2 linked regions of the Cricetulus griseus genome follow. The protein of the gene in region 1 interacts with the protein of each later gene in a biochemical or structural test. Links are inferred from orthologs where the notes say so. Each region holds a gene or a part of one and is shown in the gene's direction. Other genes may lie near its edges.

What was found.
Region 2: the proteins of Sntg1 (region 1) and Plekha1 form a complex in vitro, tested with the Homo sapiens proteins (2 studies listed by BioGRID and IntAct, with this or other methods). The link is inferred for Cricetulus griseus from reciprocal best matches to the Homo sapiens genes SNTG1 and PLEKHA1.

What each region holds. Positions count from the first base shown.
Region 1 is NC_048595.1:235,596,998-235,615,257, reverse strand, and holds part of Sntg1 (gamma-1-syntrophin), read left to right. Parts: intron 1-5,448; coding exon 5,449-5,505; intron 5,506-8,803; coding exon 8,804-8,861; intron 8,862-10,536; coding exon 10,537-10,580; intron 10,581-10,668; coding exon 10,669-10,710; intron 10,711-18,260. UniProt on the Homo sapiens protein: Adapter protein that binds to and probably organizes the subcellular localization of a variety of proteins. May link various receptors to the actin cytoskeleton and the dystrophin glycoprotein complex.
Region 2 is NC_048596.1:69,918,239-69,932,984, reverse strand, and holds part of Plekha1 (pleckstrin homology domain-containing family A member 1), read left to right. Parts: intron 1-4,147; coding exon 4,148-4,273; intron 4,274-5,178; exon of another isoform or gene 5,179-5,279; intron 5,280-7,827; coding exon 7,828-7,971; intron 7,972-10,739; coding exon 10,740-10,808; intron 10,809-13,825; coding exon 13,826-13,890; intron 13,891-14,477; coding exon 14,478-14,541; intron 14,542-14,746. UniProt on the Homo sapiens protein: Binds specifically to phosphatidylinositol 3,4-diphosphate (PtdIns3,4P2), but not to other phosphoinositides. May recruit other proteins to the plasma membrane.

The sequences.
Region 1 (18,260 bases):
TTGAATTTGGTCAAAGGCTTTTCTTCTCTTAGTTTGTTTATGTGGTGGATTACATGTCAGATTTTCATATATTGAATGATCCTGCCATCTCTGTGATGAACCCTTCTTGATTATGTTGTGTGATCTTTTTAATGTGTTCTTGGAGTTGTTTTGTGAGTATTTTAATGAGTATTTTGCGTCAATGTTCATGAGTAAAATAGGTTTGTAATTCTCTTTATTTGTTGACTGTTTCCTGTGTAGTTTGGATATCAGAATTAGGTAATGTTTCTAAAGTTTCTAATTTATAGGATAATTTGTTGAGTATTGGTATTAGATATTCTTTGAAAGACTTGTAGAAGTCTGTGCTAAAACCACCTGAATTCATTTTTTGGATTAGGAGACTTTTCTTGTTTTTTGAGATAGGGTTTCTCTGTGTAGCTTTGGAGCCTATCCTGGCACTTGCTCTGGAGACCAGGCTGACCTCAAACTCACAGAGAAGGTGTGCCCCACCAACATCTGGTGCATTGGACACTTTTAATGACTGCTTCTATTTCCTTAGGGATTAGAGAGGTATTTAAGTGGTTTTCCAGATGTTAATTAACTTCAGTAAGTGGTATCTACTAGAAAATTGTCCATTTCTTTTAAATTTTCCAATTTTGTGGAATATTGGTTTTTGAAGTATCACCTAATGATCCTTTGGATTTCCTTTGTCTCTGTCATTATATGTCCCTTTTCTGATTTTGGCAATTTGTTAACCTCTGACTTTTGGTCAGTTGGGTAGGAGTTTATCTATTGTGTTGATATCCTCAAATAGCCAACTCTTTGTTTCTTTGTATTGTTCTTTTTCTTTCTATTTTATTGATTTCAGCTCCCATTTTGATTATTTCCTCCCTTCTACTTCTCTTGTGTATATTAACTTCTTTTTGTTCTACATAGTTCAAGTGTCCTGTTAAGTTGCTAGTATGAGATCACTGTAATTTCTTTATGAAGGCACTTAGTGCTGTGAACTTTCCCCTTAACACCTCTTTCATTGCATCCAATAAGTTTGTTATATATGTATTCAGCTACCTTGAATTCTAGATAGTTTTTAATTTCTTTCTTTACTTCTGTCTTGACATAGCTTTAATTTAGTGGATTTTTGTTCAGTTTCTATAAGTTTGTAGGCTGGTTTTTCTTTTGTTTTTTAAACCAACTTTAATCAATGGTGGTCACAAAGGATACAGGAGATTATTTCAGTTTTATTGTATCTGTTCAGACTTGTTTTGTGAGTGATTATGTTGTAAATTTTTGAGAATGTTCTGTGAGGTGGTGAAAAGAAGGTATATTCTTTTGGGTGTGGGTGAAATTGTCTGTAGACATCTGTTAGGTCCATTTCATTCATAGTATCTTTTAGCTCCATTGTTTCTCTATTTAGTTTTTATGTGGGTGCAACCAGGGCATTGATTCCTCCCACTATTAATGGGTGAGGTTGGATGTGTGATTTAAGCTTCAGTAATGTTTCTTTTACATATGTGTATGCCCTTTTATTTGGGGCATTGATGTTAAGATTTGAAAATCCATCTTAGTAGATTTTTCCTTGGATGAGTATGGCATGTCCTTCTTTATCTCTTTTGATTAAATTTGGTCCGGAGTCTATATTTTAGATATTAGGATAGCTACACAAATTTGCTTCTTTGGTCCATTTACTTGCAAAATATTTTTCACACTCTTTACTGTGAGGATATACTTATCTTTGACTCTGAGGTGTGTTTCTTGTATGTAGGAGAAGGATTGATTCTGTTTTCACATATAGTCTGTTAGCCTGTATCTTTTAAGTGTGGAATTGAGTCCATTGGTATTAAGAGAGATATTAATGACCAATGATTGTTACTTCCTCTTATTTTGTTGTTGTTGGTCGTTGTAGTGAGTGTGTGTGTGTGTGTGTGTGTGTGTGTGTGTGTGTGTGTGTGCCTTGTGTTTTTTCTGGTGTGATTTTATTTATTGTCTGTCTTTTTGTGGATGTAGTGAACTTCCTTTGGTTGGAGTTTTCCTTCTCGTGCCTTCTGTAGAGATGGACTTGTGATTACATATTGTATAAATTTAATTTTGTCAGGAAATATCTTGTGTTCTCCATCTATGGTGATTGAAAGTTTTGCTGGGTATGGAAGTGTAAACTAGCATTTGTGTTCCCTTAGAGCTTTTACATATCCATCCAGTCTCTTCTGGCTTTTAGAATCTCCATTTAGATGTCAGGTATAATTCTAATAGTTCTAGATTTATATGTTAAGTAGCCCTTTTTTCTTGTAGCTTCTAATCTATTTTTGATTCTGTATGCTTAGTGTTTTGTTTATAATATGACACAGTGACTTTCTTTGATGATTGGTGTTTGGAGTTTTGTAAGCTTCTTGAACCATTAGCAGGCATGCCCTTCTTTAGGTTAGGAAAATTTTGTCATCTGATTTTGTTAAATATATTTCCTGAGTTTTTGAACTGGTATTCTTCACCTTCTATTCCTATAATCCTTTTTCTTTCCTCATTCAAGATATTTATTAGGAGGTAAGAATCCAAGAGAGTGGCTGCCTCTGCCAGGGTGGAAGAAGACAGCTCCTATTCTTCTTATATTTGTTTTTTATTCATAGTGCCCTAGATTTCCTTAGTGTTTTGTGTCAGGGTAATTTAGATTTAATATTTTGTTTGCTGATAAATTTGTTTCTTTTATCATATCTTTAATACCTGAGAGTCTCTCTTCCATCTTTTATATTCTGTTGCTGTTGCTTATATCTGTAGTTCCTATTAACCAGATTTTCTATTTCCAGATTTCCATCCTTTTTTTCTTTTTGCTTCTACTTCAATTTTCTGTTCTTGAGTGTCTTCACTCACCTGTTTGTTGGATTTATTTAAAGTATTTCTTGATTTCCTCTTTAAGTCTCACTATCATCTTCATGAAGTTGTTTTTCTGTTTTAAATGCATTAGAATATTCAGGTCTTGATGTTGTAAGAAAGCTGGATTTAAAGGCAGAGTCTGTTCTTGTGTGCAATAAATTGGGAGGGGATCGTTGGAGACAGAATCTTTGGAATGGGGTAGTTCAAATAGCAGACAGTTCAACCAACTGATCTTCTGATTAGTCAAGTGATGAGTTTTTATTCATACCTTTAAGGATTAACTTTTTTCTTATTTATTTATTCATTTTAAAACAATATTTTCTTATTTTATATACCAATTCTCTCCCCTCCTCCAGCTTTCCCCATCGTCCCCCCATCCCACTCCCCATCCACTCCTCAGAGAGGTTGACTCCATGGGGAGTCAACAAAGTTTGCCACATCACTTTGAAGCTAGACCAAAACCCTCTCCACTATGTCTAGGCTGAACAAGGTATTCCTCCAAAGAGAATGGGCTTCACAAAGTCATTTCAAGTACTAGGGATAAATCCTTGTCTCACTGTCATTGGCCCCAAAGACTAGCCAAGCCTCACAACTGTCACCAAAATTCATAGGCTCTACTTTGGTCCTATGCAGGTTCCTCCAATATCAGTCCAGAGTCATTAAGCTCCCACTAGCTCAGGTCAGCTGCTTCTTTGGGTTTCTCCATCATGTTTTTGACCCCTTTTCTCATATTAACTCTCTTTCCTCTATTACACTGGACTCTGGGAGCTTGGTTCAGTGCTTAGTTGTGGATCTCTGCATCTGCTTCCATCCATTGCTGGATGATGTTTTATGATGATAATTACAGCTACTTTGGAAATCAGTAGGGAACTTTCTCAGAAAATTGGGAATCCATCTACATAAAAAAACAGCAATACCAGTCTTAGGAATATACACAAATCATGCATATTCATATCACAAGGACATTTTCTCAACTGTGTTCATAACAGCATTATTAGTAATAGCCAAGACCTGGAAAAAAACTAGGTGCTCCTCAGCCTAAGAACTGATAAAGAAAATGTGATAAATTTACACAATGGAGTACTACTCAGCAGTCAAAATAATGACATGTTGAAATTTGCAGGCCAGTGGATGGAACTAGAAAAAAAAAACATCCCAAGTGAGGTAACATAGACCCAGAAAGATGAACATTGTATGTACTCACTTATGAATGAATAGTAGACATACAGCAAAGTATAATGAGACTACATCCTACAGACCCAAGGGAATCTAGGTAGCAAGGGGGACATTAAGAAAGACATACATGTATAACCCTTGGAAGGTGAAATGGACAAGATCTGGGAGAAAGCTGGGAACATGTTAGAGGGGAGAAGGCATAGCAGAAACAGGGGAGGAAGGGAGAATGGGATGGGGAGGAGAAGATGAAGGAAAGGGATGGTGGAAACAGGAGAAAGACAGAGAGTAAGAGCAAGGAAAGGGATAACCTCATTGAGGGAGCCAATATGGAAACAGCAAGAAACCTGGCACTAGGGAAATACCCAAGAATCCACAAGGTTGACCCTACATAAAATTCTAAGCAATAGCAGAGAAGGTGACTAAACTGGCCTTCACCTGTAATCAGATTAAGGATTAACTCTTAATAAAAGCCACAAAAGTACATATTTTTATATTTTCTGTTGTAAATTTTTTATTTTAATTCACAATGAATGAAAATAAAAGAGAGAAAGAATTCATGTAGAAGTAGCAGAACCATATTCACATTTGGGAAATGAGATGATGGGTAAATGAGTTGGAAATTTATGGACATGTAGGCAAAAAGTCACAAACATCTCTTACATTCAGGGGATAGGGCAGATGGTGAGAGATGGCTGATGTAAATGATTCAGTTTATGGATACAGCTTCCTACCCTTCAACTTTCTTCCAGAATATGAAATATGCATAAATTGTTTCCTTAAAACTCAAAAGTTTGATTTGCTGGTTGCAAATTTAAGAAAATGTTCATGTGCTCACACCAAGGTCTCTGAATTGGTATTTTCATAGCTGAATTCTTGTTACACTCTGGGGAAACAGTGGTGTACATTAATAATCCAACTGTCATTATACTCAAGTATGTCCTTTTTCTAACATGTAAATTAAGGATCTGAATACAGCTTCAGCTTCCTCGTCATGTAGCTCTCAGACATCACATGGTCTCTGAAGTGCTGGGCTATAGAGGCGCTGCAGCTTAGGTCTTAAATCGCCAATATATGACTTGGTGATGCAGGAAAGGCCTCAGGTGGGGGATGCTTTTGACTGGCAGGGAGATACTGTTAGGCTACACAAGAATGTGCAACATGAAAATGAGACTATAAAAATGTTAAAATTCTTCTCAAACTATCACTGAAATAATTTTTCAGACATGAATTTTGTGGCATTTATTTTGGCAAACAAGTTAATTAACCTTTGATTCAAACTGTACAATGTTCCATTAATTGAAATATTTAAAGTTTCTTTTGCTGTCAAATATTTTTCTTCAAATTTTAAACAGCAATTGAAACAACCACAGGAGAAAAAGAGGTATTTAGTCTAAGGAAACACTTACCTTTCATAAATCTCTTATCTTTCAGGAAAGAACGGTGATGATCAGAAGGCAGACAGTAGGAGGATTTGGTTTAAGTATAAAGGTAGCCCCCTTTCCAGTCTATCTTTGCAAAGACTAAGTTTTAAAGGCTAACATTTTATGTACATTAAAATGTTGGTGGTTCATAATAATATAAAATGTCTCTGTGATGTTTGGAACACATTAAAATCTGGGATGTTCTTATAGAACATATCATTATCATGTGATGTAGATATTACAGGAAAGATCTGGGGAACTTACCTAATGTTAAGTAGAACTTGACAGCTTTCTTTATGAATCTTCCAATGATTATGAACTGTATTCATGGCAAGAAGCTTTCCTTTCTCCTCCAGCAGCATGGAAAACTGTTGAGTATAATGGGAACAATTCTCGCTGGGCATTGGTGGCAAACGTCTTTAATCCCAGCACTCAGGAGGCAGAGGCAGGCAGATCTCTGTGAGTTCAAGGCCAGCCTGGTCTTCAAAAAGAGTTCCAGGACAGCCTCCAAAGCTACAGAGAAACCCTGTCTCAGAAAACCAAAATAATAATAATAATAATGGGAACAATTCTCTATGGAACTATGGAAGAGAATTGGGAACATGTGAGACATGGATTGTAATATATATAATCTTGCTTGATTTTCACTTAGTTAAAGTGAAAATTGATAAATTCCATTTATCAATTCTAAGTTTTGAATATGATATTTAAGTTTATTGATCTGTACAGTGTTGTCTGTTTTGACTGATAAAAATGTATCATCTTGCTATTTATCATCATTGAAATGATTGAAAAAAGTGAGAGAATTGGATTAAATGTGAGTAATGAAGACTTAACCCAACAACTTTAATTGTGTAATTAATCTGACTTCCTGAATTATTAAATGAAGGTTGTTAATCACAATTATTCAGTTTGTATTTACTTACTTAGTATGTTGTTTTTGTGAAATTTTAAAGACATTTTACCCAGATCCTGTTATCTTTGTCAGGAAAGGGGCATTTTGAATTTGTGACTATCACCTATTTTCAGCTTTCTCAAAATGACTTAATAAAAATGGCAGGGTGTGGAGTGCTAAGAACCTCAATATTCAAAATATTTGTGTTAAAATAAACTTTACGTGTATTTTTCATTAACCCAGGCAAGGGGCACATACAGAATATATTACAGGATATTGAAATTAGGCCAAGAAACATGCAATTTTCTGTGTTTGTTTCAGTTAAATAGTCAATTTTAGCACACACTGAAGACATAGATTTTCTAAAGGGAAGTTATTGTCTTAATTCAGGGTAACAGAAATAAAATACTGTGTTATTCAACTGTGACAGTATTTTCAGTAGAGGAAACATTAGGCAGGTTTTGGCACACAGCTTTTCTAATTCAGCATATGATTCCTGAGTTTTAGCTGAAAAAAACTTTTAAAATATATTGGTAGAAGGGCACCAGCATGCCTGTTTGGAAAACATTATCAAACACATATTATTAGAAGTGAGAACTAGCTTTCCCTGCCCTCGAAGCTGCTCAGAGATCTGAGTGTCTCACTGTAGTGCCTACTACAGTGTTCTCACCATGCAGTGTGCAGATGCCACCCCCCGGCCTCACTGATGTTGTCCCCACAGTGCACTCTGTTTAAATTATCCATAAAGCCTTCCTTTCATAGTCCTCGGAGAATGCTGTGTGCCGATAGCCCCTTGATCTGTGGTCCCCACTGTGTAATATGTGAACAGCTTTTCCATTACATTTTTCTGCCATGGTCCCCAGCACGTACTCTTTAGAGATTACTTCTCAGATGTCCTTACTCTAGTCCTCACTCCGCAACGTGAGGATGAATCTTCAGCCCTCGCTGTTGTGGACTCCACTGTGCATTCAATGTGCATGTATCCCTTCAGCTCACCATTTTGGAGTCCATTTTCTAAATTCAATAGGCAACGATGCCAGCAACACTTTATTGTCAGTATTTTACCCAATACTTTACCAATGAACCTTAGATAGGATTGGCATATAGGTTAAATTGTTGGTACTGAGTTTGGGCCATAACAGTCTGTAACAATGCCTCTTTTTGCGTTTGGTGGAGGCTGGGGTAGACAGACCTAGGGATGGTTGGTAGGATGTATTAGGTTTAAAATGAGCTGATTAGTGGCTTTGAAGAACAACTTAAGTAAGATTTTACTTTTACTCTTATTTTCCCCTTTCTCAGCAATAAAAATAAAATACATAAAAGTTTAAAATTATAGTTGAGTACTATTTTTAAGTGATTTTCCATCTCATATCTAATTCTACTCAGCATTGGAAATGAATGCCATCAGTGAGCATGTTCTAAAATGTTGTAATTATACTGATGGGCAGCTTAGGGAGTTATTTATTCTAAGCACAGAGCACCACCAGTGACTCTAGATGGCCCCTTCAACCACCTGTGCTAAACATGTATACTCCGTCTCTACACAACACTTCACTTGTTTATATATGTCCTTGGTTTATCACCGAACACACCCAAACTTCTTACACTGTTGGGGTGAAACTGTATGATTCTAAGAATTGTTTATTTGCTTTTATAAAAATTTTGATTCCTTATTGCACTTCCTTCTTTTCATATTTGAGCCAAGGGCCGCTGTTGGATTCTTGGATGATAATTGGTTAGCCTATGCTTTTACACGCAGGAGTCTAATACTAATTAGGAAACACAGGTAGTTCTGTTCCCATCACACTTAGACATCTCATGATTTTGTTTATCCATCTGTATAGGCAGAAGGTCTCTCTGGTTATTTAGCACTCAAAATGAATTACTGAAAGAGTGTGTGTTTGCCAGAATAGAATAGTCAGAGAATTGAAATATATAAAATATCTGATGTGTGGAATCCTACATAACAAATGTCAAGATGCCTTGCTTTCCCATAATGGATTTTGAAGAGAATGTCATTACTAACATTATGAATTTTATTTGAGAAATAAAAATTTTATAGTCAGTTATTACTAATTATTAAATGTCATTACAAAACCACTAAATACTACACCAGGAAGTGGTGGCGCTCACCTTTAATCCCAACACTCGGGAGGCAGAGGCAGGCAGATCTCTGTGAGTTCAAGACGAGCCTGGTCTATAAGGGCTAGTTCCAGGACAGCCTCCAAAGCCACAGAGAAACCCTGTCTTGAAAAACCAACCAACCAACCAACCAACCAACAAAAACCCATTACTTATCCAAGCTTCATGGACAAGCTTATTTAAAAGAAATTCTACAAATTTATTTCAATTCTGCTTAGTATTCATTAGATGCAATATTTATAGCTTGCAGTTTTTGTTTATTTGTTATTTTTAAATTTTTTGGCTAAAAGCTGACTTAAAAATATGATGTATGACTGTCTCTTTCTAGGGAGGTGCAGAACATAACATTCCAGTTGTCATTTCCAAAATCTCCAAGGAGCAAAGAGGTAATGTGCTTAGCTAACCCTGAAGTGGTCAGTCCTCTGTAATCCCACGCTCACTAACTGGTATCGATGTGGCTCCCCTGGATTCCAAGCCTCATATAGTGAGAAGTCAAATCTGGTTCTTCAGTTTCCCTTGTTCCTCCTACAGAACAGAAAGGGAAAATGATGGATTCACATAGTTCAAATGGCCATGTATTAATTGACCATATGTGAAATGACACAATTAAGACACATCTGAACTGTTGGTTAAAGATCGAAAAATGAAGACACATTTAGTGGACAAATCCATATTCGATAGATTTCTCAATTTTACTCACTTCATATGAGGCTTCATCTAAAAACTATCACAGATAAATCAAGTGTTTATTGGCAATTATCAAGAAAACAGCAAAGTAATAGAACAGAGCATAGAACAGACAGATGGAAAGTCTAAATCTGAGGTATTTGCATGGAGATATTATACTGTAAATGCACTAAGAAAAGTGACCAAATGTGAATGAATATGCATACATAATATGTATATATTACACAGGCATGCACACTCACTCACACACACTCACACTCACACACTCATACACTCACACACACACTCACACACACACACACACTCACACACACTCACACACTCACACACACACCACACACACACTCACACACACTCACACTCACACACTCACACACTCACACTCACACACTCACACACTCACACACTCACACACTCACACACACTCACACACTCACACGCACTCACACACACTCTCACACACACACTCAGACACACTCACACACTCACACACACTCACACACACACTCACACACACACACTCACACACACTCTCACACACACACACTCACACACACTCACACACTCACACACACACCACACACACACACACACACACACTCACACACACACACTCACACACACACACACACACACACACACACACACACACACACACTCACACACACACACACACACACTCACACACACACTCACACACACACACACACTCACACACACACTCACACACACACACACACTCACACACACACACACACACTCACACACACACACACACACACTCACACACACACACATCACACACACACTCACACACACACACACACACACTCACACACACACACACACACACTCACACACACACACACACACACACTCACACACACACACACACTCACACACACACACCACACACACACTCACACACACACACACACGTCTTAGAAAACTGTTAATAACATGCCTTGATCACATTCATACTCATTCTTCCAACTTTCCAAGATGTAGTTACACTTCCAGAATGTATCATCTGAAAAGTCAAACATGCTAAACTGGAAAGCCTCACATCCAAAAGTATTTGGGCCACACTAATTGGCATTTTTGAAAAAGGAAAAAAGTCACAAAGTTGGGAGGGGACTGACCATGTTTTAATAACTGTAAGGTTATAAATTTCTAGAACCAAAAAGAAATGTCTGCCTATTCCAGCAACTGAAAAAAAATCATATTAATACTTTGAGTTTACATTGTGTGTGACCCTATGAAATACTAACCATAGAAAAGACATAGCTTGTTTACAGTTTTAACCTTAAGACAAAACATCTTTATTTATTTGACAAATGCCAAGGTGTATTCAATTTTTTTTCTTATTCACAGCGGAGCTGTCAGGACTGCTTTTCATCGGAGATGCAATTCTACAGGTATATATCTCATTATTGTCTTTATAGATGCAAACAAAAGCCAATTTACAGTACACTACTTGAAACTAAGTATTTTCTTTCATTGCAGATAAATGGGATTAATGTGAGGAAATACAGACATGAAGAAGTGGTGAGTTTACTTTTTTCTAATGCTATCATATCTCAAATTCAATTTAATTATGAAAGTACAAAATAATGTAGCATATTACCAATTCTAAGTGTCTTTCAACCAATTTTTACTCTTAAAATACACTTAGAAGTACTATCATGATGAAATGTATTTCAAATTGAAGTATACATGTAATTTTTTCAAATGCTTGAAGGTTTATGAGAAAAGTATTGATTTCTGTAAATTTTTAAATGGCATTGGGGCAATTGGCAATGTGTTCTGTAAGTGTGTGTGTGTGTGTGTGTGTGTGTGTGTGTGTGTAGAGAAAGGTGTAAAAAGGAGAAGGAATTGATGAAGAGACAAAGGGTAGATTTACCCACATTTTCATTATGGCAGTTTCTTGCATGATTTTACATGTGTTGGGGCATATACAAACATTCTAATTTAATACAGCTGGGACATGGAAGCTGAGTTTCAGCTACATTTATAAACAGTTAAACAGTAAATTTCTTCTAATCCATACTTCCATAGATAGGTTAGTCTCTATTGCAGATAATGAAATGGCATTATAAAACTTAATCAAAGTGGTAGACATCTGGGGAAATGTTGGTCACAATTAAATAAATACCATTGAGTTCTTACTGAAAGAGATAAAGAAAACTACATTTAAAATACGCTCAAGGATCAAAAAGCAGTTATTCTGATGACTTATACATTTAAAATCTCAGCAGGGAAGCTGCAAATATCTATGTAAAATTTCCATTTCACAAGTAGTGCTATTGCAGAGAGCTGGGTATCATGGTCTGCTGGTGTTTACCAATAATTTTGTAGTTACAAAAGCATATTGAGGTCATCTTTTAGACACTCTTTGTTGAAAATCCTGTAGAAGTCTTCAATTTCCTTTGAATATGTGCAGGGAAAACACATTGAACAACAGAAAAACCAGTGTGACACCACCAGAATCTAGGGACTCTACACAAGCAAGACCTGAACATCCCAACACAGATGAAGCAGAAAAGAATGACCTTAAAAAAGGTCTTCATGAAAATGATAGAGGGCCTCAAAGAGGATATGAAAAAAAATCCCTTAATGAAAGGGAGAAAAAAAATACCAGAAACCAACAAATCCCTTAAGGAAAGCCAAGAAAATACAATTGAACAACTGAAGGAAACAATTCAGACAGTTCAAGACCTGAAAACTGATATAGAGACAATAAAGAAAACAGAACCTGGAAGCATCCTAGATTCCTCTCAACTGAAGAATGGATAGAGAAAATGTGTTACATTTATACAACAGAGTACTACTCAGCGGGAAAAAAATGGAATCTTGAAATTTGCAGGCAAATGGATGGAATTAGAAGAAACCATTCTGACTGAGGTAATCCAGTCACAAAAAGACAAACATTGAATGTACTCATACATGGATTTTAGAGATAGAGCAAAGGATTACCAGCCTACAATCTACACTGCCAGAGAAGCTAGGAAACAAGGAGGGCCCTAAGAGAGACATTTTTTCACTGAGAAAATGCTTTCCAGTCATATGATTTTAAGGGGTTGGAAGGCCTTCAACACTGTTCTCAAATTAAACTCTCTTTTGTCAAATTAATTTACATTTTCACAAGATTCAATCTTTCATGGCATCTTGCCCCAGGACACCATTTCTTTCATATTGGTGAAAAGTTCTCTGAAGTGGGAAATTACCAATACAGACTCAGGTAGAAATATAGGGGCATTTAATAGGGAAAAGCCTCACTTACAGAGCGACCTAGCCAGCCGGCGTGGCAGCAGTCTGTACCGCAAGTACCAAAGTGAAACCGAAACAGAAACACAGTCCCCTGAAAGCCACATTCTACGTCACCCTGACCATGCCCTCGAAAGCGTGGTCAGGAACACCTGTAGCCAGCCCCTAAGTAGGCGTGGCTACAGCTTCCCCTACAATTCCCCTTTTAGTCTAAAAGAGGATTAAAACTTAACAGTGTAAAGTATCCAAAATTAACAATCATAAAGGTAAAATATAAGAAGATATGTCACATCCTAACTATCTATTTTAACTAAACTCTAAAGTAATCTGAGAGAAATGTCCAGGCCTGAACACCTCCTTCCAAATCCAACCATAAACAATAGGAAGCTATCCCTAACTAGGTATATACACTATCCTAAGTGACAACAATGGGGGAAGGGGGCATAGCATCCTCCAAGTTACTTCCTGCTGAAATGGGATGATGATGGTCATGTGGTGTAGGAAGAAAATGTTAGTGTAGTGAAAGTCGTGAGTGAATTGTATCCAGTCCATGATACATGGGATTCACTTGATTGAAGATCTCGCTTGAAATCCTTAACTTGATTGAAGTCAGTACCCGAACCTCTGGCCGGAGTGTCCATTGAAATGGAGTAAGCTGGATCTAGTGCAGTCGAGGAGGTGTGGCCCATTTTTTTTCTAGGGTGTCTAGGGATTGCTGTCAGGCAGGTCTTTATTGGCTGTGTGGAACTCAAACATAAACAGTTAGTAGAGAAATGTTTGTTTGTGTATGTACACATGCTGGGGAATGTAACCATGAGAGCATAACAATTATGAGAGGGTGTACACCTTGAGAGAAAGATCCAAGAAAAGACAAGACAGTCCCCAAATTCTTTTTTTATTTTGTATTATATCAATTGGCTTCTTGATACAACACAGAAACACTAAAGTTTAGTTAAATAACGTGCTTGGATTTTAGAGGAGGAAAGCCAAATCCACCTCTAAACCCAGCATTGGTTAATTGAATAGGGACTAGGAAATAAAAAGAAATAGAGTTTTTTTGAGAGACAGCTGTAAAGTTTACCGTATGGCACATTCCTTCTATTTGATGGTTATAGCTACCATTTTTTTTAAAGTATCTACCCATGTAGTGTCCTTTGTCTTCTGAAGATGAGTTTTTCTGTGAAGATAAAAGTAAAACACTTCCCTTTCCTTTGTGAGGTTTCTATTTAGTTTATAAGATAGACCTTAGTAGAATACCTGTCATTTGTCCTCGTCGAGAGGTTTGTTCTTTTTTACTCGAATCTTGATCAACTTTGATGGTATCTAAAGTTTTTTTTCTCCTGTGGAAACCAATGTAAAACCCCAACCCCAACGTAGCACATGTCCTGGTTTCCATTTAGAAGTTGGTGCATCTTTGAAGTATACCGGCTGATTGAGTTTAGTAGTTTTTTTCATAGTCTAGTGTCTTTCTGTAGTTGTTTGTCCTTTTTTATTGGCATTAAGAAAGTTTAGTGTTAATAAAGCATTATGTAACCTATGTTTGGGGGGTTTAGTCTTTTAAGCTTGCTTGTTGAGTATCTCCTTAAATGTTCTATTAGATTGCTCAACACTGCTTGTTCTGTAGGATTGTGTGGTATACCAGTAACATGTTTTATGTTATAATATTTGAAAAATTTTTCTAATTTTGTAGAGACATATGTTGGAGCATTGTTAGTTTTTGTTTGTGTAGGTATACCCATAACTGCCATCATCTTTAGGAGGTGTGTAAGAACAGAATCAGCTTTTTTAGAGTTAAGAGCAGTAGCCGATTGGAACCCTGAGAATATGTCTATAGTATGATGTACATATTTCAAGTTTCTAAACTCTGTAAAGAGAAAGACATCCATCTGTCAAAACTCATTTTTCCAAATGCCCTTAGAATTACAACCTGCTGGCAATGGAGTTTGACTATAAAAGGAACAAGTAGGACAGTTTCTCACTATCTCCTTGGCTTGTTGCCAAGTGATAGAGAAGTCCGTTTTCAAACCTTTGCTATTTACATGATGTTTCTTATGAAATTCTGAGGCTTCTAGCACACTTCCAATTAATAAATGATCAATCTCATCATTGCCGTGTGCTAGTGGGCCTGGCAGACCCGTATGGGATCTGATATGTGGAATGTATATAGGATTACTTCTGTTTCTGATAGTTTCCTGTAATTGTAAAAACAGAAAAGTTAATTCTGTATTATCAGGAACAAATTCTGCAGTCTCAATGTGTAACACGACTCTCTCTGCAAATTGGGAATCAGTAACTATATTAAGAGGTTCTGTAAAATCCTTAAGTACCATGAGAATTGCATATAATTCTGCCTTCTGTACAGATGTATATGGACTTTGAACTACTTTACTTACCTCACCTGCTTTATAACCTGCCTTACCTGATTTGTTGGCATCAGTGTAGAAGGTAAGAACTCCAGAAATGGGAGTTTGTCTTACAATACGTGGAAGAATCCAGACTGTCTTTTTTATGAATTTAATTCTGTCAGTTTGGGGACAGTTGTTGCTAATTGTCCCCAAAAAGTCAGTAAGAGCTATTTGCCAATATTCATTATCCTTCCACAAGGAGGAAATTTCTTCATTAGTTAAAGGTACTATAATTTCTGCTGGATCTTTTCCAGTCAGCTGACAAAGTCTTAATTTACCCTTTAAAATCAAATCAGAAATCTTTTCTATATATGTCTTTAACCTTTTATTCTGTTTATGTGGCAGAAATATCCATTCCAATATAGTGTCTTCCCTTTGCATCAGAATTCCAGAAGGGTATTCTCTGGATGGCAAGATAGCCAGAATACAGTCTAAATCAAGGTTTATCCGATCTACATGCGCATCCAATATTCTGTTTTCTACCCATTGTAACTCTTTTTCTGCTTCAGCAGATAATATTCTCAGACTGTTTAGGTCCTTATCACCTTTAAGGGCCATTTTTAAATGCTTTAAGTCATGTCCTTCTACACCAATAATTGTCTGTAATTGAGAAATTTCCCCTAATAATTTCTGAAGAGAATTAAGAGTTTGATAATGATCTCTCCTAATTTGTACCTTTTGAGGTCTGATTCTTTGTAAGTCTATCTTGTAGCCTAAATAGTTAATAGAATCTCCTCTTTGTATCTTTTTTGGGGCAATCTGTAACCCCCAATGGGGCAGAACTTCCTTCACCATTTCAAACATACGTTCCAAAGTTTCCTTATTAGAATCTGAAAAAAGAATATCATCCATGTAATGATAAACAAGAGATTGTGAAAATTTCTTATGAATTATTTCCAAAGGTTGCTGTACAAAGTGTTGACATAAAGTAGGACAATTTAGCATTCCTTGTGGCAAAACCCTCCACTGATATCTCCTAACTGGCTGTGAATTATTAAGAGTTGGTAAAGTAAATGTAAATTTTTCTCTATCATTTTCCTGTAACGGTATTGTGAAAAAACAGTCTTTTAGATCAATGACTATGATAGGCCATCCTTTAGGTATTAAGGAAGGTAATGGCATTCCTTAATTAGCAATTCTCTGCCAATAACAAGCATAAACATTTATGAATATTTCTGGGCCAGGTGGGCAGATAAGATCTGACAAAATCAGGAACCTCATGTCTCAGAGGGGACATTACTTGTAAAATGTCTGTGTAAACTTTAGTCTCAAAGGGGACATGACTTGTGACATGTCCTGGCACTGCTGAATAGGCTGTGAGGGCTAATGCAGTAAGGGGCTGTGTTTTCTAAGATGGGAGAAGGAGTGTTTGTATGTAAAATTACAGTCATGTGGATTGTTGAGCTAGAAGTTTGTAATTGGTAACTGTAGGCACCAAGGAGGTGAAGAGATAATGTATCTCTGTGCTTTCTACATACTGGCTTTTGCTTTTCCAGCAGCTGGAAACACAGCATTTGTAACTGGCAATAGCTGTGTAAGGAAAATGTGTAGCATTTGATCTCTATTAACATTTTTACCAAATGTCAGCTGATTAAAGGGAACTTCTCTGTACTATATCGAAGGGAAAAAGCTAAGGCTATATAGTGTGCAATATGGAAACTGTGGCTTCCAGCCTTAGGGTAAGCAGTGAGCACTCTTACAGCTGATGTCCCAGTGAAAAAGAGTTCCTTTCTCTGAGGCCTATTTGAAAATACAAAGCACGCAGTATATATTCTATATATCAAGATTATACAACCCAATGAAATCATCCTTCTTATTTCCCACAGACGTATGTACCAAGTAGATGTAATATTTTCATGAGATTAAACACACACAAGCTGTGGGACAGATCAAGAGGTATTCTTAGGGAACAGTTGAAGCAACTCATGAGAGAAATTACAGACAAGAGAAACCTGTGGTAGGTCAGCCTGTTAAATCTTAATTATCCTGTTGTATTTCTCATGGCCCTTGACATAAAAGGGTTCTCTTTCATATGTGGAGTGTGTGTATGTTTATAGAGAGGTCACATGAAAGTATGAAAGGGGTCTTATTATATCATCTCTCATATTCTCTCTTGAACATACATTTAACAACACATATAAGACATGAAAGTTGAAGACACCATCTTGGGAAAGACAGGGCAATGAGAAGAAAAAGGAGTGATGAAGGTTGGAGTGAGCATGACTACAAATGTTTAGGTACAATCACATATACATATGAAATGTAATGGAACACATTTTGTGTGATTAATAAAAATACCAAGAAAAAAACTAATCATATATGTGTGCAATGCCTGACATTGTGATTGCATGCTAATGCCCACATACACTTCATTCATTTCTGTCAGCCAGCTATGATAATTCTCCTACCTCCACAGCCTTAGCATAACCTGGCATTTATCATCTTTAGAAACTGTAAAAGAATTATAGTAGTATTTGCCTTTTCCTAATAATAGTCACACTGTTAACTTTTTATGACTTAGATTGTTACTCTATGTTCTGATCTCTCCAAGGCCTTTATCATGAAGGAATGTTGGATTTTGTCAAAGGCTTTTTCAGCATCTAGTGAGATGATTATGTGGCTTTTCTTTTTCAGCTTGTTTCTGCTCTTATTCATTATTTATTACAGACTTGTACTTAATTTTGTTAATTCAATATTGGGTAAACTTAATTTTTCAACATGATTAATTGTACAAATTCAGTTTTTATTGGTAAGTAATGTTATATACACAAATTTAGCATCTCCTGATCAAGATATAGTATCTTTACATATTTCGGCATTTTATTTATTTAAAGGCAAATAAGAACATTCACATATGTGCATGCCTATCCCTGGTTTTTCCCCTGGTGATTCAGTTTTCCTTATCACCAAGCACTATTATCCTCTTCTTTATTCTAGAAATAATTCTACTTATGTCATTTTTTTCTGTTCTATGAATTCTGTTTTAATTTTTTATAATATAATTTGACATTTCTTTGCTGAATGTTTATGATATTTCAAGTGAATTCACACAATTGTAATTTCTTGTCAGGTATTATAAAGTTTATTTTATGTTTCTTGTCCTACAATTCCAAAATTTTGCGTACTTTGTCACAAGTTGGTTGTTGCATTCTCTTTTAAATTGTTTTTTGCTTAAGTAATTTTTATTTCATCTTTACCAGATTTAAAAATTGTGTTACATATTTTTAATAAAGATTCTACATTAGTTTCCTATGTTTCTTTTTAAATAAGGGATTCACTGCTAAATTCACAGGTATGGCTATTCATTCTTTTAAACTATGTAGTAAAGAATTTATTTACAACATTCTGTTCTAGTTGATATATCTTTTTTTTTCACTAGAAATCCCACTGTTCTCTGCTTGCTTGTCCTAAAGAAGCAAAAGAGCT
Region 2 (14,746 bases), on another chromosome or scaffold:
AAGCAGATCTCTGTGAGTTTGAGGCCAGCCTGGTCTACAGAGTGAGTTCCAGGGTAGCCAGGGCTACACAGAGAAACCCTATTTTGAAAGAGAGAGAGAGAGAGAGAGAGAGAGAGAGAGAGAGAGAGAGAGAGAGAGAGGTAGGTAGGTAGGTTAAAAATAGATATTTTGTTAATTTTTTTTAAAGGTCCTACCAGTTTAAACCTCATGGGCATTTTGCACATTTAAGTATATTGGTGTGTGATATGTCTAATTTCATATCTAAATGGCTAATGATTTATATGTAGGATCTTTGAAAGATTAATACTTCCATTTTAGTACAGTGTAGTTTTACTTTCCTCTTCAGTCCAAATGACATTTTGATGGACCATAATTTAGTGGTCTGCTAAGTACTATGTATATGTAACCTCTACACTTAAAACATTCAGAAATTTAAAATTGGAGTATTCCAGAGTATGGTTTCACCTCACATTGTTAGAGCATTGTAGCCGAGAGCCTGGTGATTAGTTAAGTGTTCCAATTGTAGTAGTTGCACCTTAGTGCACTGCCCCTCACAACTATAGTCTGTCTTTCCTTACCTCCCCTGTGTACATTGTAAATTCTCTCCTAAATATTTAAAGAAGAAACAAAAAGATTTTTTTTAATTTGAATTAAAAACAGTATTGTTTTACCTGTCAATCCCAGTTCCCTCTCCCTCCCCTCCTCCCCTACCAACCCTCTCCCCCCAACTAAAACCCTACCTATCACATATCCTTTCTGCTCCCCAGGGAGGGTGAGGCCTTCCATGGTGGGGGGGGTCCATCAGAGTCTATCATATCCTTTGGAATAGGGCCTAGGTCCGCCCCCATGTGTCTTGGCTCAGAGAGTATCCCTCTATGTGGGATGGGCTCCCAAAGTCCACACCTATGCTAGGGATAAGTACTGATCTACTACAGGAGGTCCCATAGATTTCCAAGGTCTCCAGTTGGGCATTGGTGGCGCGCAGCTTTAATCCCAGCACTGGGGAGGCAGAGGCAGATGGATATCTTTGAGTTCGAGACCAGCCTGGTCTACAAGAGCTAGTTCCAGGACAGCCTCCAAAGCCACAGAGAAACCCTGTCTCGGAAAAAAAAAAAAAAAAGATTTCCGAGGTCTCCCCACTGACACCCACGTTCATGGGGTCTGGATCAGTTACATGCTGGTTTCCTAGCTATCAGTCTGGGGACCAAGAGCTCCCCCATTGTTCAGGTCAGCTGTTTCTGTGGGTTTCACAGCCAGGTCTGGATCCCTTTGCTCATCACTTGTCCTTCTCTGCATCTGGATTCCAGTTCAGTTCAGTGATTAGATGTGGGTGTCTGCTTCTACTTCCACCAGCTGCTGAATGAAGGGTATAGGAGGGCATATAAGTCAGTCATCAATCTCATTACAGGGGAGGGCATTTAAGGTAGCCTCTCCTCAACAAAAAGATTTTTAAAAGGTCAATATTAGAAAAAGTATTTTTTAAGGACGTGCGCTCAAATGTGTAATTGTCTACCATCAGTGTAGTGGTTCCTTGATCCTTACTGGTTTAAAGTGATGAAGTTACCCGTAGCTTTTTCCTAAGCAGAAGTTCACTATTTCTAAAATGTCTTTTTCCACCATAATGTCTAATTTAAAAGTCTACATTAGCTTTTAAACAGAACTCCACAGGGACTTTTTTTTTTAAATGATAACTGAATATTGGTCTAAAGAATGCCCTTGTTGCCCTGCAGTGTTAACCAAGCCTTTGCCAGCCAGCCAGGTCAGATGGAAGGACTGCAGGTCTTGCTGCCAAAGAATTTGTCAAACACTTTAGGTTCTGTTTTCCAGCTCTGCCCTCATTCCTTGTTAGCCGAATTTCATTTCCCCTGTAACTTTTGAGAAGCCTGTAGCTTTTTATTTATTTTAGTCATGAATGTCTGTTTTGCTCATATCTTCCTTCCTTAGTCATTATTTTCTTTTCTAATATTGGAACGTTCTATTGCGGTCATAGTAAATGCCTGCTAAGAACACATTCAGACCCCTCCCAAGAAATAGTTACATAAAAAGCAGGGAAGAAGCAATATAATAGAGCATATTTAATTTCTGACATTTGTCCTCTGCCCTGTGAGTGGCTGTTTGATGCTCATTAACAGTTGTCTGATTTGAAGGTGGGGTGTGTATGTTGGGGTGGAGGTTCTTTATCTTAGAGTTTGGATTTGACTCAACTTTCACTAAGAATTTTCTGTAAATTCTAAGGGAATAACTTTATATCTGGATACTTAACTTGCACTTTTCTTGAAAACAAGGTAATTGTAATATAGATAATTTCTATTGTAATCTTCAGTTTGAGTGGGGCAGTTGTGCTTGTATAGACTTTATTATAAGGGTTGTCACCAGTGGGTCAGTTGCACAGAAAAGGAATTTTTGTGTTAATATGTTTCTGGAAGACCAGTGGGGAAAGCAGCATATATTAGTTAGTGTATTTAAGTTTCCATGAAAAACTTGTCTTTAGAAATCCTTACAAGTAGGAGAACCCTTACCTGGAAGATACCACTGCTTGCTCCTGTTGCAGGTCACCACAGAGCAGCCGTCTCAGGTCAGCTCTGTAGCTTCCAATTCTCTTACAGCTCTTTTCTAATTTCAGTGATTTGACAGGTCCACACTTTGTAGAATGACTGAAATAAATTATGTGATTCTAGAAAATGTGCTAGAGTTCATCTGCAAATTGTTTTAGGGTGTGGTATCTTAATTTTAGCCAACAACTAACACTTTGTCCACTTTTACAATCACTGTTAAAAAGCACTCAAGAGTGTAGCCTCTTAGAATCCTACAGGCATTCAGGGCTCACCTCCTTCCTTTCCCTCCCCTTTCTTTCCTTTCCCTTCCCCTCCTCCTTTCCCCTTCCTCTTCCTCCCACCGTCCCCCTCTCTGTTTTGGTTTTTCGAGGTAAAGTTTCTCTGTTTAGCAATGGCTGTCCTGGAACTCACTGTAGACCAGGCTGGCCTTGAAAGAGATTCACCTGCCTCTGCCTCCCTAGCACTGGGATTAAAGGTGTGCGCCACCACTGCCAGGCTCCCTTTCTCTATTCCTCCTGTTTCCACCAGTGATTGATATTGTATTTGGAGTATTCATTTGAAGCTGGAGGGTGCTGCCACAGCCCAATAGAGAGCCTGACAAGGGAGGCAGTGGGAGAAAATGACATTACCTAAGATATAAGCCATTCTTACTCATGAACAGTTAATGTCCATCAGTACGTTTGGATTGAGATTTTCTCATACACGCCACCCATGCTTATTGAGTACTTTGAAAAGAGTGTCTTTGTAAATAATCCCTTGTCTGCATTGTACACCAGCTCTTCTCCAAATCTGGCGAGTGCGATGTGATGTACAAAAAAGAGCATAGTGTGGAGCAGGGTTTCTTGAAGTGTAATTTGTGAAATACTGTCCCTCAAAAGCACCTGTTCCTTCTGAAAGCAGTTTGAGGGAAATGTTCCAGAGACTCATTTTGGGGATGGAGCCTGGGAATTAGAGTGTTAGTGATGTTCCTGGGTAATGTCTTATGTATATTCCCTGCCTTAGATGGAATCACATTAGTACATGTAGGGCCTTTGACTACAGTGCTAGTGGTTTCTCTGTAGTTCATAGGTGATGGGCAAATGGCAAATGACTTAATTTTAAACATTTTTATGCCATTACCTTTGTGTTTGTCATTCATATTGTTGATAATATTTCTGAAAGACTGTGTGAGGATTCCTAAATAAAATGTCCTTTAAATCATACTCAGTATGTAATTGATGCTGTTTGTGATTATTTCATTTTATTGCACAAACTTGACTAGAATGTAGTAAAGCAGGGATCTCAACCTGTGTTCCCTGCTGCCTCTAAGTCCTGCTTCCTTCTCAAACTGTGCTGAGAGTTGGCTAGGGGAGAAAGGAGGAAGTGTATGAAGTAGTGGCTGCACATGCAACAGCAGTCGGTGTTGATGGCTATAGTCTAAACTGTTCTCAGACCAGAACAATCTGAGATCTTGAATCACAATATTGCAAATAGATTATTATTTTTTAGTTATCTACAGACAGCCAGTTGAAAATGCTGTGATGATGGAGAGGGTTGCAAATACAATTCTGCAATTTTGGTTGCATGATAGATAATCCATCTCACTCTTCCAGGTACCAAAGCAGTCAGACTCACAGCCGGCTTCTGACAGCCTGAGTCGTCAGGGTGACTGTGGCAAGAAGCAAGTGTCTTACAGAACTGATATTGTTGGTGGTGTTCCCATCATCACTCCAACTCAGGTAACAAATCAGTGCTCTGTTAAATGTAGGTCTCATGACTGCATATTGATACTTGTATTTTCAACAAAACTGAAACAGGATGCCTTTACTGAATTAATTCAATGTCTATTAACTACAAAAGCTTTTAATTTAGTTTCCTGTTCTGAAAGTGTTTTGCAAACTTTTGTATGTTTTTTGTAAAAAAGATCAGAAGTTACAGAGAGAATCACTCTTCCTTCTCTGAGTTGAATTCTTTGTATTCTCCCTGTAGAAGTGGAGATAGAGTTACATGTCAGACTTTGTAGCAGCATATCTCACATCAGTCATCAGAAGTTATTCTCTATTACTTTTAATGGCTACAGAGTTCTGCTGTGGTGGTTATTTATAAGCTTCTACTGATAGACAAATGGAGGGCTCCGCTCCGCTCCCCACCCTTCCCCTCCCCATTTTCTGAGCAGCTGAGGTTACAGGTCTACACCAAGATAAAGTACAGATGCTGGGTGAGAGTCTGTAAATATGTGTAATTTTTTTCAAACCTGCGTGAGTGCGTGCGTGTGTGTGTGTGTGTGTGTGTGTGTGTGTGTGTGTGTTGTTACCTACAACCTGACAACTGCAACTCTGGCTGGATTGTGTCTTAAAAGTACTGATGTGCCTAGGTATTAGTAAAAAGAAACTTATGTAATTTAAAAAATGAACTTGAAACTTTTATATGCACTTAAGTTCTTATATTGCTATTGAGGAAATGCGCTTTTTTATTTTTTAATAAATATATATTACAAATACACTGGAGAATTATGCAGTGCTGCCTGTGTTGGATGCAATCCTGGGCCATAAGTCTACACATTCCTTTGCAACTGGACCTGTGATAGCAGAACCTTTCATCTCAACTTTATTGTTTACTATGACCCCTGTATTGTCTTAAAAAAGAAAATATGGAATGCTTCACAAATTTGCATGTCGTCCTTGCCCAGAGGCCATGCTAATTTCTGTATGGCTCCAATGAGGAAATGTACTTTTAATACAAATTAAATTAGTAATAGTTGTGAATTTAAAGTGATGGCTATTGCCAGTGTTGGATATTCTCATTAGTTTTATCTTTTGATCTTAGAAGACTTTGTTGTTTTGATCCCCTCCCAATACTGCCCCCCCAATCTGACCAGGGACAGGGTTTCTCTATGTAGCCAGGCTGGCCTCAAACTCAGAGATCTGCCTACCTCTGCCTGTGCCTCTGCTTCTGGCTTGCTGGGAATTAAAGGTGTGGGTTACCACAACCTGGCTTAGACCATTATAATTTTAACAGGTATCATATTTTTTCAATCCTTGTGTCAGGTTGGTGTGATTAGTGGAAAGAAATCTGATAACATCTATCAACTGACTTGAGTATCTTTTTCTATGTTTTGCAAAGGGTATATAGTAACACCAATCTCTGTTCTAGGGAGAGTTTAGAGTTACTTTTTTTTTTTTTTGCCAAAGTTGAATTAAAAAAAAAAAACAAAAACAAAAAAAACAAAACATAGGCCTGGGCAGTGGTGGCACCCACGCCTTTAATCTCAGTACTTGGGAGACAGAGGCAGGCCTCTGTCTCTGTGAGTTCAAGGCCAGCCTGGTCTACAGAGTTAGTTCCAAGACAAGCTCCAAAGCTACACAGAAAAACACTGTCTTAAAAAACAAAGACAAAACAAAACAAAACAACCCATAAAAACTTAGTACTTTTAGGATTGAGCATGGGAGAATTTTGCAGGTCAAGGATTAGGCCTTTAGAGTTGACATCAGGCATGTTATCCATAAAAGGAAAAGACTGATAACTGCACATCTGTATTTCAGATACTTGTTCGTGAAAGGCCCTACTCAGAAGATGAATAGGAAAGATAGACTAGCCAGCTGTGGTGGTGCACACCTTTAATCCCAACACTTGTGAGGCAGAGGGAGGTGGGTCTCTGAGTTAGAGGCCAGCATCCCTACAGAGTGAATTCCTACAGCTAGGGCTACACAGAGAGACCCTGTCTTGAAAAACAAAAAGCCAACAAACAAAAAAGATAGACTAGAAGAAAAGTTTACAAGCTGCTTATCCAACCAAGGACTTTTATCTACAGGAACAAAACTCTTAAAACCCAATAATTAGCAAACCAAAAAAAAAAAAATCCTTAAATGTAGACAGAAATCATAACAGACATTTCACCCACAAATGAAATATGTATTAATAGGCACTAGGAGAGATGGTCGCCATTTGTAGCCGGTAGAAAGAAATTCGAACTAAGGATACAGTGAATGATTATACCTTAGCAGAGATGCTTGGGCCTCTCATCCATTGCTGGTGGAGATATAAGTAAAATAGTTCATCCATTCGGGGAAAAAAAAAAACAATTCAGTGTGGTAGTTTTCTTGTTGTCATCTTTGAGTAAATTTGTAATTACTCTCCAGCCTAGTATGTATTCTCCTAGGCATTTATTCTAAAGAAGTGGGTAATTATGGTCATACAAAAACCTGTATATGGATACTTATAATAGTTTCATTCCTAGTAGCCAGAAGCTGGAAATAAGACATACTGTTAATTGGGGAGGTGGTCAGTAGCATGGTATGGTGGTACATCCACAGCACTGGATATAGCAGCATAGTTGATCAACTGTTGACACTAAGAGCCACCTGGATGAGCCTTCAGAGAGTTGAGTGACAGTTTTAAAAAATAATCTCAAAAGATCCTTACTATGGGCTTCAGTTTATATTCTCAAAATGTCGGGAACAAATGAATGGCTGTGAAAGGAGTACTACAAGGGCATCATCACAAGCAGACCCTGTGGCAGCAAGCAGTTCTTTGTGTTGATTATAGCGATTGTTGTGCAGCTTGTAGTTGGGGACCACCAACTCACAAATGACAACATGGAGACTTATGATTAGTTATGAAAGCTCAGCCTAAGTAGTTTACTTAGGCTTGTTCCTAACTGCCGCTTATTACTTAAATTAACCCATTTATATATTATAATATATAATAAATATATATTAATCTACATTCTATCACGTGTCATTACCTCTCTCCTGTCTTTCACTTCCTGTTTCCTATCTCCTGTTATCTCCCCAGTGCCTCGATATCTCCTCCTACTTCCTCTCTCTGCCCAGATGTCCCTCTAGCTGTTGGTTGTTCAGCTCTTTATTAAATGAATCACAGCAATATATCTTCACACAGTGTACAAATATCCCACAACAAGCTGCTGCATGTGGTAGTATTACATAGGAACAAACTATATAACTATTGGAATCTGAATAAAGTTTATGTATACTTGGTACTCTGGAAATACGCACTTCCCCATTGGGAATAATTTGGTTGAAGTGTATATAGGACCTCAGCTACTTTTTATATTTATTTTAACTTCCTGCGAATCTGTTTAATAAATTATTTCAGTATAAAAGCCCCACTCCAAGGACAAGCACTAAAGACAGGCTATAGAAGTGGATGTTTGTGGTTTGATCAATGACAAGAAAGTCATGATTGAATGTCACAGATTTTAAGATTTTCTAAGATAACGTTAAATGAAAGTATATTTTAAAGCAAAAAAATAATTTCTTTTACTTTGTTTTAGAAAGAAGAAGTAAATGAATGTGGTGAAATTGTTGACCGAAACAATTTGAAACGGTCACAAAGCCATCTTCCTTACTTTCCTCCTAAGCCACCTCCAGACAGTGCAGTTATCAAAGCTGGGTATTGTGTGAAACAAGGAGCAGTGGTGAGTAGCTTAACCATACCTGTGAAGTTGGGATGGTCATGTGCCAGCAAGCTTGCAAGTCGTAATTCAAGTTGTATGCTTTATTTTTGAGAGGCCCAGAGTGGAGAGCAGTTTGTTGCTGGGAAGGGTGAGAGGGGTTGCTCCATGTTTATCACAAAGCATAGTATTTCCGTGGTCTTTTGGGCATTTGGGTAAGTTAATGCATATTTCCACAAACATTTAGTTGCAGTGAGCTTTCCTAAGTTTAGCTTCATGACAAGGGTTTTTTTCATTTGTTTTTTAATTAAAAACTTCAATTTGTGTGTGTGTGTGTGTGTGTGTGTGTGTGTGTGTGTGTGTGTGTGTGTATGTGGGTGAGGGAAGGGAGCATGCGTGCTATTCATTATGTTTTGAAATCAGAAGACAACTTTGTCAGTTCTCTCTTTTCACCTTCACTTGGATTCCAAGGTTCAAATTCAGGCAACTGCCTTTACCTGCTGAGCCATCTTAACCCCCAGAAAGTTCTGTTATTTTCCCACACCTTCAGAAATCGTTAGGTGTGGAACCATAGGAGAAGTGGAAGTACAAGACCAAGTGGCTTCCAGAGGACAGCTCTGAGGTTGGGTTATTTAATCTCCCAGGCTCCCAGTTTTGTTTTATGAGAGACTGTTTTTGGTTTTTTTCGAGACAGGGTTTCTCTGTGTAGCTTTGGAGCCTATGCTGGCACTCACTCTGGAGACCAGGCTGGTCTCAAACTCACAGAGATCTGCCTGCCTCTGCCTCTGCCTCCTGAGTGCTAGGATTAAAGGCGTGTGCCACCAACGCCCGGTTGAGAAACTGTTTTATTAAACCTCTGGTCTATGGTTTTTGAAAGAGGTAATGAGGGATAGCTTTTGGCACAGCTCCAGGTGCTAAACAAGCCCACAGGTGAGTCCAGGTTGTCCCCATTATCAGTGTAGGAGATTTCTACAAGATAAACACATTTACCACTATTTCTAAGACTCCAGATATTTTTCTAGTAGGTGCTGTGGTTTACACCTATAATCCTAGTATTTGGGAGACTGAGGAGGGCAGGAAAGAAAGTTCTAGGTTAGCTTGGGCCATATAGCAAACTTGGCTTTTTTGTTTGCCTTTGTTTGTTTTGATTTTTTTGAGACAGGGTTTCCCTGTAGCCCTGGCTATCCTGGAATTCTCTGTAGACTAGGCTGCTGATCTTGAACTCAGAGATCTGTCTTTCTTTGCCTTCAGGGTGCTGGGTTAAAGGTGTGCTACAGCACTACCACCCAACTCTGTGTGTCTGTGTCTGTGTGTGTGTGTGTGTGTGTGTGTGTGTTTGTTTTTTAATCAACTTTTCTAAAGTTTATTCTGTATGAACTAAATCTTGAGAATCTCAAGAGAAGATAAAGTTAACATTTGAACATTTGAAAACAAAAGGAAAAAAATGTGAATAAAGAAATACTTCAAACTCTCCTGGTAATTTTGCTTGATTGTTCTCCAATTTCTGGCAGCTCCGCTTGGGAACATTCTTGCCTATTGGATCATTGGTCCCAGGGAAAGGAAGGTGGGACCAGAGGTTTCTCAAGATAGGCTGTCTATAGGTGGAGGCAGAATATTCCCCAGGCTATGAGGTTTAGTTGTAGGCTAATTAGGCTTTTAAGGAGGTAACCTGTAGTCCTAATTCTTTTTTTTTTTAATTTTTCTTTTTTTCCTAATTCTTTAAAAAAATAATCATTTACAAATTTTTCCTTAATTTTTTGATATTTTTATTTTATGTGTATGTATATTTACTTAAATATGCATCTGTGTACCATGTGTGTGCTGTGCTAGTGGAGGCCAGCAAGAGTGTAGGATTCCCCTGGAAGTGGACTTAGAGACAGTTATGAGCTGCTGTGTGAGTATTAGGGAATTGAACCTGGGTCTTTTGAAAGAGCATTCTTAACCACTGAGCCATCTCTCCAACACTATTTTCAGATACTTTTGGGTACTAAAAAATTGACATAAATATCCATATGAAAGTGTATTAAACATTTTCTGTATGGGTTTGTTTTATTTTGTATTTATTCCTGACCTGTTATATATGAAATACTTGAAATACATGTTGTGAATAGAGAAACCTGATAGGTTAATGACATTTCCTGAACTAATCTTTACTTTGTAGGCTGGGCTGGCAAGAAGGGAAAGGAATACCTTCTCTTTCTTTTCCACTGTTGGAGAAATACCAGGCTCAGCAATTAAGAGCACTGGCTGCTCTTCCAGAGACCCTGAGTTCAATTCCCAGCAATTGTATGGTGGCTCATAATCATCTTTAGAGGGGACTGATGCCTTCTTCTGGCATAAAGTCAGTCATACATGGAGATAGAGAACTCGTTCATATAAAATAAATTTTAAAAAAATCTGAGGGTCTGGAGAGATGGCTCAGCAGTTAAGACTACTCTTCCAGAGGACCTGGGTTTGGTCATTCACAACTATCTGTAACTCCAGTTCCAGGGGATCTGGCATCCTCACACATGTATGCAAGCAAAACACCAATGCATATAAAATAAAAATAAAGTTTTTTTAAAAAAATCTGAAATACCAGAGTCATTCATAAACTTGAAAGTGAGCTGCCTAAGACTGAGACTGTCATTCAAGGCCTGATGGGAGAGGTGCCATTTACCACTTACCTTGGGGAGGGTGTGTTGTTTCTGCAAGCTTGGCATTTCTGATTGTGGGTTGAATGATTTTGAATGATTAAGGGATGATTAACATTGGACATTCTTTGAAGCCTATGTCTGTGTCTTCTCTGATAGATGAAAAACTGGAAGAGAAGATATTTTCAATTGGATGAAAACACAATAGGCTACTTCAAATCTGAACTGGTATGCAGTTACTTTATAAATATGCTTGGCAAGTTATACTGTAGCGATTGTATGCTTTTATACTGTTTTGCTTTTCAGATATTCCAGTTCTGGTTTTGAGGGCATCTATATTTCAGTCTACTTGGTTGTAATACATTTGGTTAGTCACATATTTCTTTAATGTGTTTTTTTTTTTTTTTTAAAAACTACCATATCTTCAAGGAAGCATTCCATTTTGATGGGTCTAAAATTATAACCACCCCCCAAATGTAAACCTCTGTCAGAAGGGCATTGGGAGAGGCAGTGAAAGGAATCCTCTAAAAGCAGCTTTCAGTCCTCTACATGTCTGCCTTCTCTGCGATGCTTTTTCTTAGCCCTTCTTTTCCCATTTCATTTGAGATATCTTTGTTATGTTCTGAAGGCAGAATCAAAGACTGAGTTCTCTCTATCCCGCCCCCCCCTGACACTATTTAAGATGTGAGGTGGTCGGGGGCTGGAGAGATGGCCCAGAAGTTAAGAACACTGGCTGCTCTTCCAGAGGTCCTGAGTTCAATTCCCAGCAACCACATGATGGCTTACAACCATCTGTAATGAGATCTGGTGCCCTCTTCTGGCCTGCAGGGACACATGCAGACAGAACACTGTATAAATAAATCTTAAAAAAAAAAAAAAAAAAAAAAAAAAAAAAGTCAGGTGTCCTGAATCTTACATGGATTATTATATAAATTAATGAAATTCTCTGCCTCTTCTACAAAAGTGTGGGACTTTTGTGTGCTCCACGTTGTATTTGAGTGTAGGCACGCTAACAACACTGTCTTGATATAACTCAACAAACATAGAACCAGATGTAAATATTATGTCTTCATGTGAATGCATATGAGTGTAAAATATAATATGTCTTGAGAAAATGATCATTCCTCCTCCCCTTTAAGAAACCTGGACTCCATGGAGAAATAGCAGATTTTATAGCTGGGAAAAAGAAATAAATGCAAGATGAGCCTGGAATGTCTTATGTCAGAAAGCAAGAACATGTTGAGAAAATGGTAATCACCCAGGAACAACTTTGCAAACAGTTCTCTCACTAGATTATGGACAGTGAGAGTATCAAAATACATACTGATTATAAAATTACAGCCTGTCTATCCCTGTGTTCATGTAGATACAACTCAGCAATTCAGTGGTGACTGAGTTCGTGTAACTACAATGAGGGACAAGATGCCTAAATAGGAATGAGAACCCAATCTGTGAATAAACACTTGAGTGCATAGGGAAGAGAACAGCTTTACAGTGAAGAGGCCTGGCAGAGACCGGTTCTGTCAAATGGTCAGGTTCAGTGAACTTCATTGGTGGTGAGGATGTTGAAACCACTTACCACCTGACATGATAGCATGAAAAGAACACAGCACCAGTTCTGTGCTGCTCATGTAGATAGTCTGAGTTTGGTCAGCAGGTGACAGAAACCACATCCAGGGGAGGGGACAGTCTACAAAATAACTGTTGTAATCTGCACGATTCTGTGTTCCTCATTCTGAGTAATCTTCATACTAAAGGAAAGGAGAGACAGCAAGCGAGCACTCTCACCCTGTAAGACAGTGTGGAGGCCACTTGCTGACTTTGATGGTCATAACATTAGGACTTTAGAATAGCAGACTAGAGCAGCAGCTCAGCTTGAAGTGACCGTGCTCTTAGTCTTTTTGTAAATTTGTGATTGTCTTAAGGTTCAAAGAGAAACAGAAAATTGAGGGAAAATATCTAGTAGGAAAAGAAACAGAAAATACAAACAACTCATATATAAAGAAATTAGGCTGAGTGTGGAGTTAAGTGGAAGCATGCATACCCAGAGTATCCAAGGACTTGTGATAGAGCCTCAGCACTACTAAGCAATAAAAATAATCTCCAGAAGTATGTAACAGTTCTCAGTGTCACTCAGGGTTAGGGAAATACAGATGTGCACTGCACAGATAGTTCTCATCAGTCATCAGGCTGTGGCTGAGTGAAAAGAGCATAGATCCTCTGTTCCCAGAGAGAATAAGTGGAGAAGAAATAGTGATTTTTTTCAAGCTCCAGATTGATATATGTGTGAGCGGTGTTAGAAAAATCACCATTTGGCAGGCAACTGTGCCAGTAATGATTTCAGGTGAGAATCCTCAATATTTGGTGAAACTGGTGGGAAAATTATGTTGGAAAATCGAGTACTTCATAGGCTCCACGTGTCTTGGTAGTGACTAGTATGAGTCTTACACCAACAATTGGTCAAGTCTACACCATGCATCTCCTGGTAGGGATGGCTGAGAAGTAGTCAGTTGCTATGGTTTCCTTCTAGAAGCATGTGGCCTAGACATCAGGACGAATAAACATCTGGCAGATCCAGGCAAGGACAGTCTATGAAATAAGTGGACATTTTACAGGTCTATGAGATCACAGAAGACCAAAGAAGTAGCTACTCTGACATAAAGCAGACAAAGAGAAGGGACAGTGCAGCAAGTCTGCTGTAGACTGAATCTTGAGCAGAAAATATGTCAGCTTGTCTTCTGCCATGAAGGATACCCATGGGGAAACTTGTAAGATCAGAATGTGGCCTGTGGATTATGGTCATACTGTAAGGATGTCAAGATTTGGGCTTCATAATTATGCCTTGGTCATGGAAAATCTATTTTAGAAGTTAAAAACAAGTACCTAGTATAGATACATCATCTTTAACTTGCCTACAGACATTCCCGAAGTATATTCAGATACATGTGCACAGGCTAATAACAAATCTGGGATTGCTACATGGTGCCTTCTATGTCAAGATGACATTCCAAAAGAGGAAGTAGAGCACCTACTGGCCCTAATGGTCCACCACAACCAAGCCTACTGCTTAGTGACTGTCACTGAGACCAGAAACTGAAACAGCGATGTGTATTAGGACATAAAAACAAACTGTCTTGCTGCTGCAAGTTTCAGAAGGTAGAGTTGTGTCTGAGATTTACTTGAGCGCCACATAAGATAGCTGTCCCTTGAGATGAAATGTCCTGTATCTATTTGCTTTTTACCAGGAAAAGGAACCTCTGCGGGTAATACCACTTAAAGAAGTTCATAAAGTCCAAGAGTGTAAGCAAAGGTAAGGGACTGCCTGATGCTGGCACAGCACAATTTGAAAAACAACACCTCCCCTGGTTCATGAGCTTACAGGGTGTGTTTCTCCCTTCTTGTGTGAATTTTTAACTGTGGTTGAGATATGCTGCAGTTTTATTTTGTTTTTTAATCTGTGAGATATCACAATGTTTTATTTGAACACTAAAATTAGGAAACAACTCATTTGTAAATGACATTTCAGAAGTAGCTCATTAATGCAAAGGAAAAATTAATATGAGAAATTTTTGAAATTTAACAGATGGAAGTATTTTAGTATTTCAAGGTGCTGCAGAGCGGTTTGTCACAAGGAGTTGCACCAGCTGTGCCATGCTGAATAATGAACTGTAAACAGTTGGACTCTAAAGTTGCTTCGTGAATCTTTTTTAAATGAGCTGTTTAAAGCATGTGAATTGGAATGCAAACCTGGGGAAAAATTAATTTGGTTTGGTTAAATTAGTGTTTTCTCTCTAACATTTATTTATTGACACATATTTGGTACTGAGTAAACAGGTGAAAGAGAAAAACCATCAAACTGTGATTTACATACAACTGGATGATTGTTTTTCATAACAGTGACATAATGATGAGGGACAACCTGTTTGAAATTGTAACAACGTCACGAACTTTTTATGTTCAGGTAAGACACTTGGAGATTATAGATTCTCTTACAAGAAAGTAATATCATTCAGAGGTGAAATAAATATAAATAAAGCTTGTTAGTTTTGACAATTCTAATTTGCCAGCTTATTGAAAGATGTCAAATAGTGGGTTGGTGGTGGAATATATGCTCAGAAATGGGAGTGTTCGGCTGGGCGTTGGTGGTGCATGCCTTTAATCCCAGC